Struthio camelus: one gene and its partners. The protein of the gene in region 3 interacts with the protein of the main gene of each other region in a pairwise test. Links are inferred from orthologs where the notes say so. Each region holds a gene or a part of one and is shown on either strand. Other genes may lie near its edges.

What was found.
Region 1: the proteins of GET3 (region 3) and ASPH interact in binary tests that used the Homo sapiens proteins (3 or more experiments, as listed by UniProt). The two-hybrid records come from large-scale screens. The link is inferred for Struthio camelus from reciprocal best matches to the Homo sapiens genes GET3 and ASPH.
Region 2: the proteins of GET3 (region 3) and GPX7 interact in binary tests that used the Homo sapiens proteins (3 or more experiments, as listed by UniProt). The two-hybrid records come from large-scale screens. The link is inferred for Struthio camelus from reciprocal best matches to the Homo sapiens genes GET3 and GPX7.

Annotation. Positions count from the first base shown.
Region 1 is NC_090943.1:134,405,139-134,408,885, forward strand, and holds the start of ASPH (aspartyl/asparaginyl beta-hydroxylase), read left to right. Parts: upstream 1-1,092; 5' UTR 1,093-1,242; coding exon 1,243-1,303; intron 1,304-3,747.
Region 2 is NC_090949.1:31,612,467-31,616,213, reverse strand, and holds the start of GPX7 (glutathione peroxidase 7), read right to left. Parts: upstream 2,828-3,747; 5' UTR 2,052-2,827; coding exon 1,845-2,051; intron 1-1,844. UniProt on the Homo sapiens protein: It protects esophageal epithelia from hydrogen peroxide-induced oxidative stress. It suppresses acidic bile acid-induced reactive oxygen species (ROS) and protects against oxidative DNA damage and double-strand breaks.
Region 3 is NC_090972.1:4,315,325-4,319,071, forward strand, and holds the start of GET3 (ATPase GET3), read right to left. Parts: upstream 2,414-3,747; 5' UTR 2,147-2,413; coding exon 1,986-2,146; intron 1,134-1,985; coding exon 986-1,133; intron 881-985; coding exon 732-880; intron 618-731; coding exon 467-617; intron 66-466; coding exon 1-65. Other genes in the region: TRIR (telomerase RNA component interacting RNase), read left to right, coding at 2,856-3,107.

The DNA of each region.
Region 1 (3,747 bases), on a different chromosome or scaffold from region 3:
TTTCAACATTGCTTATTTTTATCTGAAAAACTATAGTTATGGCCAGGACTCAAAAGGGAGCTTTTCAGTTGTTGCTGTCGTTCAAGAAGGAATTTGCTGTTATGCCACACTACTTTCTAATTAAGTTTCATCCCAGGTCACTGAGGAACAAGAAGCATTCAGAATTTCTGTTAAAAACAAACTAAGAAAAAATCCACTGATTTTGTCACAGGCTGCTTGAAATATTTTTCAGACTTGACAAGCTTTTTCTGAGAATTTATCTGTTAATGCAACATCCTTTAAACTGTTTCACCCCATGGGTTGAAAAAGTGCTATCTGAAAGAGTGAACGAGCTGCTTCCCATAAACTGCGCACGGGTGAGCTACGAACACCTGAACAAAGCGGAAGGCAGCCAGAGAAACAGAACAAGACGTTTTAAGCAGCGTCTCAAGTGCTTAAGCATTAGACCCCCATTTAGCCCGCTTTGTTTTTTTCGCAAGCCGCCATTCCCGGCGCCGCAAAGCCGCCCCGCGCAGGGGGAGCCCCGCGGCCACCGCCTCGCAGGCTCCCACATACCACGTACTCGAGCGGCGAGAAAGCCTCCCCCGCGGCACCCGCGCTCCTCCACTTCCCCCGCAGAGCCGCAGGCCGCGCCGAGGCCGAGGCCGCGGCGCCGCGCCTGTAACCGCCGCCCGCGCGCCCACACGCACGAGGACTAACGGCCACGAGCCGTCGCCGCCGCGCTCTGCCTGCGCCGCCCGCCCGCCGGTTTGAGCCCCCCCGCAGAGCGAGAGGGGGGAACACCCCCACCCCGGCCGACAAGGGCAGCCGGGCACCGCAGCTCGTCCCCTCCCCCCGGCGGAGCGCGCGCCGGCGCGGCCCCGCGGCCGAACGCTCGCGAGACGCCCCCGCTCGCTTCCATGTTGCCACGTTCAAAGCCGCCGGCGAGGGGAGCGTGGCGGACACGCGCCCCCGCCGCCGAGCACCGCCCCCCACCCGCCCCCGCCGCCAATGGGAGGTGAGCAGTGCCCCGCCTCCTTCCCCAGGAGCGCTCAGCGATTGGGTGGCGTCGGCGGGGGGGGCGGGAGGACGGGGAGCGGCGGGCGCTGGTTGCGGCCGCAGGACTCTACCGCACGCAGCGCCCAGGTAGCGGCGGCGGCGGTTACTGACTCATCCTCGCCGTCGCCCCGCTCGCCCCACCCCCACGCCCGCCGCGCGCGCGCGCGCACAACCGCTGCCTCTCGCTACCTGACAGGAGGTGCCATGGCCTCGCGCAAGGGCTCCAAAGGTGCCGGCGGCAACCCCAGCCCCGGCTCCAAGAGAGGTGAGCTGCGCGGAGCGGACGGGAAACGGGGCCGTCGCCTCGGAGGGGAGCTTCCCGGGCCGAGCCGGCACGGAGGGAAGTGGGGAGAGGGTGTAACCGCCGCGAAGTAGGGCAGCGCTGCGGGGAAGGGCGGCGGCGGGCCGAGGAGCCGCCGCCGTAGGGCCGCCGCCGTGGGGGGGGGGAGGGGGCCGATGCCGCCCCTGCCCGCCGGGGCGGGGGCGAGCCCGCTGGGGGAGGCGAGGAGGAGCACGGCCGCGCTGCGCCCTGCTCTCCGCCTTCGCTTTGCCCCCGCCAAGCGGTGGAGCCTCCCCAGCCCCTGTCCAACGCCCGCGCTCGCCGGCCCTGCCCGCGGGATGCTGCGGGCCGTGGCTGCTCGGCCGGGCCTCCGAGGGGCGGCCGCCCGGCAGGAGGAGGAGGAGGAGGAGGGGTGGGGGGCCGGGCCGGGCCGGGGGGCTTCGCCGGCCCCGCGCGCGTTCGGCCTTCCCTATGCGCTGCGTGTCAGCTCCTGGAGGCAGCGCGAAGCGGGAACAGATGGTTTAGATCTGCTGCTCGGGTTTCGGTCGTCCCCCTTCTCAGGAATTTAAGCGGAGGAGAAACTTGCTTGGTCTGGCTGAGGAGGTGGAGGCGCACCACTCGAAAGCTTCCCCGCCCCGAACGGCTGGGCTGAGTGATGGGCAGGGTCCTCAGCCCCGAGAGGGTCTTTGACATCTGTGGGTTTCTCAGGTTTGCAGGGAAGTGCACGTTGATCTTTTCTTCCGGAGGCCTGGAGCAGAACCTGGATGCCCAGTATCTCCAATGCTAGTGAAGCAGTTGTTATTCATGTGTTTAAACTCAGATGCTGGGACATCTTCTGATCTAAGTTTGTTGGATCTATCATAGATGTAGTATCTAACTCGAAGGTTCACTTAAGTGCAGAAGCAGGTAGGAGTAATCTTGAAAAAATGCAGAGAGAAGGGGTTTTTTGATTATTAGTCCCCTTTCCCACCCCCTAGAATAAATAACAGCTTGGCAAATCTGACTATTAATAAGGTAGTATGTATTGACAATTTAGGTATGGAATACTTTGTATGCACTAGGTTTTTTTTTAAGAATAGAATATACTTTAATGAGAGAAAAGTATATACTTATGGAAGTCACTGTGTAATCATGCATACTACAGTAATTAAAGGAAATTTTAACAAAGATTAGAATGCTTGCTAATTATAACTTATTTGGTTTTGAGCTTGACTTGCACAGAGCCCTAGTGATGACAAATTGTAATGACACTGAAGTAGTATCTGTTGTTACCCTTTCAGCAATAGTATGGATGACAGTGCTAATGAAAGGATGAACATATAGGACCAATTCACCAATCACATGGTGAATTGAGAGAAAAAGATTTCAAATGTCAGTTAAGCGTGAAAGAGTTCAGAGATGATGTTACAGTGGTTCAGAGAATTTTTTTTAATTTTATTTTTAATAAGGTCCTCCTTTTTGGCATATGCTGTAGAGTCTATATTGTACTTTTTCCTGGACTAGCGGTACTATTTGATATTCATGAGTCAAATGATCGTCACCTACTATTAAGCAGCATGGCAAATACAGATTTCCAATAAGAATGTATTAAGAACATGCATCCCTTGTACAATTTTGAATACTGCAAATGATTCAGACATTATCACTTTAAAGGTTAGTCAGCATTTGAAAAATAAATTTATCAGCAATCTAAGTCTCTGACTGAGTATAAAAGTATTATATAGATTTTTATATTCAGCATGAGCAAAATTTTTTCTGTTTGTAATAAAGTACCTAATTTGTGTAGTTGCACAGAGGACGCATTATTGCTATATATAAAGGTGTAAAGCAGTGTGAGTCTAAGTGTTGGTCACAATCCCAGAATGTAACCTAGTAAATTAAGACCAATATTTTGTTAGTTTCAGCTACTCCTAGTTAAAATCCCTTGGACAGCTGTAGAAATTATGGCATGAAGATGATGCTGTTTTCATAGTTGCTTAAGAATACCATGCAGCTGCAGAAAGAGGTAATGGATGATGATTCCTGTGTGAATGAAGAACAGCTAGAGGAGCAGACGGTCTTCACAGCAGCCAATAAGTATTCCACATTTGAGAGCTGTGAACATGAAATGAGGAAATAATTTTGAAATGTCCAGTAATTAAGACTGTGAAGCATGCAAACCTCAAGTCTGAGGCAGTTCCTGATAGTACTGTAGTAATCACTTTTACAGCAGTTCATTGGAGAGGACTTGGTTTCTTGCCAAGGCATTGCTCATGACTGTGAAACCAGTGAAGATGACAGTGCATCTAAAAATCTCAGCACCTAAGGAGGTGCCTGAATCTGAATTTAGTAATCTGCTTTTAGGTATCCACATTAGAAAATGCTGATGTAAATCTTAGAATTTCTAAATCTGAACTAGTACTAATTGTAGTGTTTAGAAAACTGTTTTC
Region 2 (3,747 bases), on a different chromosome or scaffold from region 3:
GGTCGGACAGCTTGGACAGAAGCCGGTCATCACTTTTTGGAATAAGTAATTCCCACAAAGTACTTGTGGTCTTGGAAAAGCAAAAAAAGTTGTGGAATGAATGCTCTTGCAGTGGGATAGGCAGATGCAGAAAAAATTAGATGCTTATTTTCTCCTTATGGTCTAGCAAAGATCAAGGAGTAATATTCACTGATGGCAATACCTTTCCTCTAGTGCTAGAGTCCTCTGCTATGAAACCAGGCACCCCTGGAGCATGGCACTAGGCGAGATTCAGACACGCACCCCTGACCTGGAGGAGTCATGAGATACTGGGGCAGGCCCTAAGGCTTCTTCTGGAGGGGACAAACACCCCCTGTCTCTGCCAGGAGGGCTATAAGGAATTCCACAAGGGAAACCTCAGAGTTCCCCCTTTAGTCCTTGCCATGCTGATTCTCACCCTGCGTTAGAGAAGATACAGGTGGTATTTGCTTATTTAGAAAGATTTGCAGGCGACCTGCACCCAAAACATGCCCCAGTGACAGGATTTATTGACAGAGCCTTTGGAAGGAACTCTTAAAAAAGGTAAATATTGCTTAATATTAAACAGGTTCCATAGTTTCTCAAAAACAGATATCTGTGTGTGCATTGGATCTGTTCCCCACCTGCTCTGTTCTCTGACTGCATTGTGAACAAAAGCAGAGGAGGACTTTGACCAGATAAGATCGAGGCCTCTCATTTGGTCCAAATGCACCAGTAGCCCTCCCTTCTGAGCTCAGAAATACATCCCCTACTGTAGGCCTTCTGTTTCTTCCCGCAAATATTTTGGTCACCCACCACTTTGGATTAGTGACAAAGAAAGTGGAAACGCGGAGCTGAGACTAAGGGTGAAAGAGAAGAGTGGAGCCTTCCTTTTTGGGAAGCTGTTGGACTGGCCTGGCTGTAGCACATAAGATGTGTCACTTGAGCACTAAGGATGGAGGTGGTGGCTTTTATGCTTTGATTTTAGCTTCTGCAATTTGTGAATATGGCTACAAGAGCTACAGATACTATGCCACCCTTTCTGTGCTAACCTCTCTTCATTCTTCCATAAACCAAATTAAAAAAAAATCAAGTTACATTCAAGACAATTTTTCTCAAACTGTGAAGGAAAGTTGTGTCTACAACTCCTTAATTTAATATGTAAATGACATTTAAAAGGTAAAAAAGCATATGCAGTGTCTATCTGACCTTCATACTGTTCTCTGTCATGCTAAAATTGACTACAAGGGGAATAGCATGGTGTTTCCACAATTTCACTGTACACTGATATTAAAATAGTACATAGCAAGTCTCTCACTTTTTTACTAATTATGGTGAAAACTCTTAACTCCATTAATCACTGGCTAAATTCCATCTCTTTTGATGCAAAACTTCAAAGGGAAATGGGATTTAGGTAAAAAGAATTTACTAAATGTTTACTAAAAGCGGAAATAAGTTCCAAAAATAATTTGTACAAAGGTACAAACTTCCTGTGCTTCATGTTTTAGCAGCCACAGTCAAGTGCAATTCATCCTGCTGAATGGAAGGCAGGCATTCCCTGCTTGCCACGTATACAGGGAGCAGCCCGCACGAGGAAGAGATGCCGCCACACAGAGAGGTTAGGCTGCAAACGTTTTATTTACAGAGTGCAAAGACCTAGGGAATGGTATTAAAGGAAGCATGCAGGCAACACTCCAGATCAGTTAAAGAAGTCATAAAAACAAATCCATCTGCATGCGCGCATCATGTTAATGTACAATCTCTCCACCCCCATTGCTTTCTGCAGACATGCAAGGACTGGCTGATTAGTGATAGTGTGAGAGCTGCCCATCTCCATGCAGACTTACCGAGCCCCTGTATTTCTCCAGAGAGACTAGCTTGCCCCTGATGTTTACAACTTTGAAAGTGTAAAAATCAGTCTCTTTCTGCTGAGTAGCGGAAAATGCTAAGAGCAGGAGCGCTGCTATTGCAAGGAGCATGGCTAGAGGGATGAGGAAAACTTTGGGGAAGGAAGAGGAAGCCTTGTGCTCCACACTGCCCTCAGGATCTAGCATGCTGCAAGACAGCGCTGCACAGACACTTGCCACAATAGTAAAGTGCTGCCGGAAAGAAAGGAGTGCTGCAAACGGACCCTTTTGCAACAGTCTCTCTTCTGCAGAGATTTAATAGGATCTGTGTTCATGCAAGACCTCAGGAGGATGTCTTCATGAAGGATTCAGATTCTCTCCAATGGAGTATTTCATTGTGGCAGTGGTGTATTAGATAAGGCCATTTATGGGTGCAACATACAAACTGAAGGGCTAGTTCTTTCAGCTCAAGAATAGCAGTACTGTATGCGTCTTTGGGGGATGCTGACTTAGGGAGCTGCTTTGACTATGTCCTAGGAAAATATGGCATAGAGTTATCACAATGTTGGCAGACTTGCAAGTAGGTATTTTTAATATACTAATTATAGCAGCTAATAACTATGATGTAACGTCAAAGGATACCAGTGGCTGGGTGGCTAGTGGTTACTGATTCAAGTGCTCTGCACAAGAGTCAGAGCATACGGTTATCAAAAACTGAGCGTTACAAACAGTGTCACGTGAAATGGAGCGCGCTTAGGCCTTCTGGAACGTCCCCTGTCTGAACGCTCGGCTCGAGAAAAGTGGCCGGCCAGGCCACGCGGGTCTTGACAGGGTGATCTGGGAGAAAGCACATCACCAAGGAGTTCCTAAGTGAGAAAGAGGCATCAAGCATTAGAAACTGAATTTGGTACCAAAGCTTGCAGAAATACAGAGCCAAGGCAGCTACTTGGGGGATCAGTGTAGTGATGCAATTCGTGGGTTGTCTGGGGAAAAAAAAAAAAAAAGCCATTTGTGCCATTTGCTACTATGTCTGCTGGAAGAAAGAGGATTTGTATATATGAAGTAACAAGAAACGTTTGATGGTCATTGATTTCTTCTTGGACTGAAAAACCAGTCTTCTGTGCCTGTGATTCTGCTACTTCTTGGCAAAGAAAAAACAAAAGGTAATGATTTACAGAAAATATTGAAGTAGCACACATGAGGCATACTGGAAATTTATCTTTTGAATAGCCAATTACATTTTGTAATCTCACTGTGTGTGTGTGGTTTTTTTTTTAAACCTAGAGTTTTGGCAGATCTTTGAGGTTTTTATCAAGTTTGGTGAAGTAATTTAAGCATAAGTGGCATTACTGTAAGTGAAGGAAACATGAATAACTAGTTGAAAGACTTAATAATAGTTTTTAAACATTACAGATTTTGCAGGTTTTATGTATTTCAGGTTAAGTAGATATCCAACACCAAGAAATCATGCAATATTCTACACGGGTGAAAAATCTACCATGCTATCTGCGTGGAAGACATACTGTGCTAAAAATCTGAAGTTCTGATCTCATCCTCACAGATAAGTACTATTTTTCTGTATGCTTTTCAGGCTTCGGTATTGACCAAGAAACTTTCCTTTGGAAGACAGTGAAGTATGAATTCCCCATTTTATAAATAAATTATTTAAGAAGCTCCAGAGTCTCTTCAGACATAGCTCGACACAGAGAATATAGCTTTAAAATAGTATGTACATTTTAATAAATAAATTAAAAAATTAAAAATAGTAAATCCTAAGAATAAATAAAATATTTCATTCCAGCTTGCTGAAAATAATTAAACTGAAACCTTCTGAAACCTTTTTTTTTATTTGGCTAGCAAATTTTTAAAAATATACAGTACACTTCTACTGATTTTCTACAAT
Region 3 (3,747 bases):
GTCTCCTCCAGCTTGGAGGCCAGCTGGTCGGCGTTCATGTCGCCCAGCCCCAGCATGTTGCACATCTGCGGGAGAGGCCACCCCGAGGTCCCCGCGGTGCCACCCGCGAGGTCCCCCCTGCGCGCGGCAGGTCTAAGCCCGCTCGTGCCGCCTGCAAGCGCCCTCACGCCGCCCACGAGGTCCCTCGGGTGCCGCGTGTGCGAATCCCCTCCCGCCACGCGGGGGGGGGGGGGTCTCCCCGAGGCCACCCCCAAGGGTCCTCGCGGTGCCACCCGCAAGGCCCCCCTGGTGCCACCACCGAGGCCCCTCGGGTGCCGCGCGTGAGAGCCCCCTCGTGCCACGCGTGGGGTCTCCCTGGTGCCACACACCGACGTCCCCCGCGTGCCACCCGAGGGCCCTCCCCGGCGCCACCCGTGCGAGCCCCGCTCCCCGGCGCCGCCCCGCAGCCGCCCCTCCTCATCCTCACTTGGGAGATGAAGGGGCTGATCTGGTTCTTGATCTGCATGAGGCGGCCCAGGCCCCGCTCCACGATGGTGGGGAAGTTGAGGAGCCGCAGCGTGTGGCCGGTGGGCGCCGTGTCGAACACCACCACCGAGAAGTTCATGCCCTTCACCAACCTGCGAGGACGCCGGGCCTCAGCGGGGACGGCGGGTCCCCGGCGCCCCGTTCCCCATGGCAGGGGGCCGTCCCCGGGCCCTATCGGCCCTGCACCGCCCCGGCCCCCCGCTCACCTCATCACCTCGGCGTAGCTCATGGCCTCGTCGATGCCGGGGAAGGCGCTCATGGCCTCCTGCATCATCTTCTTGCCCATGCTCAGCATGTTGTCCTCCTCAAAGAACTCGTCGGGCAGCTCGGCCACCCCCAGGCTGGGGTCGATCTCCTGCCGGGGGCCGGGGTGGGGGAGAAAGGTTGGGTGAGGGGCTGGAGGGTGGTGGGGGGGGCACGGGGGGGAAGGCTGGACGCCGGGGCCCGCCGGGGGACTCACCATGGCGAAGAGGTTGTCGTAGCCCTTGACTTTGGTGGGGACCTTGGAGAACTTCTGGTCGAAGGCGTCGGAGATGTTGTGCGCGGGGTCGGTGGAGATGATGAGGACGCTTTCGCGCACCTTGGAGAGCTGCACGGCCAGGCTGCAGCTGGGGGGGGGGGCAGGTGGGGAGGAGGGGGGCCGCGGTGTCACCGGGGTGGGCTGTTGCCACCGGGACCCCCTCCAGGCACCCGGTCCTGCCCCATAGGGTGGCCCTATGATGCCACTGTCCCCCCTCAGCAATAGGGGGGCTCCTTCTCCCCCCCAAGGGTGACCAGCCTGCCCCCCACACCCCAAAGTGGTCCAGCCCAGCCCCCCCCTTCACTCCCAATGGTGCAGCCTGGTCTGGTGTTGTCCCCCCCCAAGTGGTGGTCCAGTCCATTCCCCCCCAAAGTGGTCTGGTCCACGTCCCCCCACTCTGAGGTGGTCTGATCCAGTCCCCCCCCCCGAGGTGGTCCAGTCTGGATCCCCCCTAACCCCCTCCAAAGTGGTCTAGTCCAAATCCCCCCCCCAGAAGTGGCCTGATCCAGTCCCCCCCCCCCGAGGTGGTCCAGTCCGGGTCCCCCTACCCCCCCCGAAGTGGTCTTGGCCAGGTCCCCCTCTTCCAATCCCCAGTGGTGCGGCCTGGTCCAGTCCCCCCCACTCGAGCTGGTCCGGTCCGGTTCCCCCCCACCACCCCGAGCTGGTCCGGTCCGGTCCCCCCTCCCAAATGGTCCGGTCCGGGTCCCCCCTCCCAAATGGTCCGGTCCGGTTCCCCCCCCATCCCGAGCTGGTCTGGTCCGGTCCCCCCTCCCAAATGGTCCGGTCCGGTCCCCCCTCCCAAATGGTCCGGTCCGGTTCCCCCCCACCACCCCGAGCTGGTCCGGTCCGGTTCCCCCCTCCCAAATGGTCCGGTCCGGTTCCCCCCCCCACCACCCGAGTTGGTCCAGCCCGGCCCGGTGTTCCCCCCCCCCGGCCCCACCTGCAGGTGGTCTTGCCCACGCCGCCCTTCCCCCCCACGAAGATCCACTTGAGGCTCCGCTGCTCGATGATGTTGGCCAACGTCGGCTCCAGCGGCTCCACGTCGGGGGCGTCCTCGAACTCGTCCGCTTCGGGCCCCCACCCGGACCCCGCCGCCGCCATCTTCGAACCGCACCGCCTGCCCCGGCGCCGGGCCGCACCATTCGCCTCCGCCGCAGGGGGGGGGGAGAAAGGAAAAGAAGGGAGTTATGGCACCGGCCGCCGCCGCGGGGCCGCCGGCAGGAGGGAGCCGCTCCGGCGGGAAGCCACGATCACGGCCGCCGCCGCCCGGCCGCACCGGAGAGGCCTTTCCCCGTTATGGCGGCCCCGCTCTTCACTCCTCCCCCGCGGCCCGCACGGCGGTGGTACAGCCCGGCCCCGCCCCCCTCCGCTGCTGATTGGCCAGCTCGCACGCCCGCCGGGCGGGATTGGCTGGAGCAAGTCCTACCTCTTCCCCGGGGCGGCTCCTCGAGCCCGCCCACCCCCTCTTGCTCCGCCTCCGCCGGCAGCCGATTGGCCGCAGCTGCCGCGCCTCCTCGCTGATTGGCCCCGAGCCTGACAGTCCGGCGCGAGCAGCCGCGGGGAGGGGGGGGGGCTCTCACGGCCCGCCCGTTGCCTGGCAACAGCGCCCTCGCGCCTGCCCCGTCAGCTCGGCGCGGCTCCCGTCGTGCCTAGCGGCGGGCGTTTCCCGCCGTCCTCCGCGTCACCCTCCCCCCGCGGCCCCTATAGGAGGGCGGCGGCGGAGCTTCCCGTCGTGCCCCGCGCGCGCGTCATCGCCGGGCGCGGGGCGTTTCCCGTGGTGCCCCGCGGCGCGGCGTTCGCGGCGGACAAGATGGCCGACCACGGCGAGGACGGGGAGGCCCCGTCGCCGCCGCCCGGCCCCGGCGGCGGCGTGAACGTCTTCGCCAACGACGGGAGCTTCCTGGAGCTCTTCAAGCGCAAGATGGAGGAGGAGCAGCAGCGCGAACGCGAGGCGGCGGCGGCGGCGGCCGCCGAGGCCCCCGGAGGTGCCGGTACCGGGCCCGGTCCGCACCGCTCGGCCGACGGCCAGAAGAGGAGCGGCGGCGGCGGCGCGCTCAGCTTCGTAAGGACCCCCGGGGGGGGCCGCCGCCGCCCCGCGCCCCGCTCCCCCCGCTGCGGGGGCCGCTCCCCGCTCTGCCCGGGCCCCTCGCACCCGCCGTCCCACCGGGCCCGGTTCCTCCCCGGTTCTCCGGGGTGGTTTCAGCCTGCAGAAGGGCAGCTCCCCACGCTCTTCCCCCACCCCCCCTTTCCTCACCGGCCCCGGTGATGCCGTTGCTTCTCCCCCCTGCTCACGCCCGGGGTCGCTCTGGGTGGGGGGCGCTTTTTCCCCTTAACGGCAGCCACCCTCTGGGCTCAGGTAGGCGGAAGAGCTTCACCGGACGATTCCGCTCCCCCGACGTGAGTATCGGCCCCGGTTTCACCGGCAGAGCGTGCCGGGAGCCGGGCTCAGGTCCGCTGAGGCCGTTGCTCGCCGGCCCTTTGGGGAGCCGCGTTGTTGTGTGCGGTCCCGGGGCGCCCCGGAGCCTGCGGCCAGCGGTCGGGGTGCCAGGAGACCCCCGTGAGCCGAACCGAGCGGGTTCGCGTCTCCGAGCGTGCCTGGATTGGGCTGCGCCGGGAAGGGGCGCGTCCCTATGGGCTGAATTTTAGGGTTTGGCTGCTTCAGGCTTTGACAAACGGTCCCCTCCCTCCCTGACCTGCTGCTT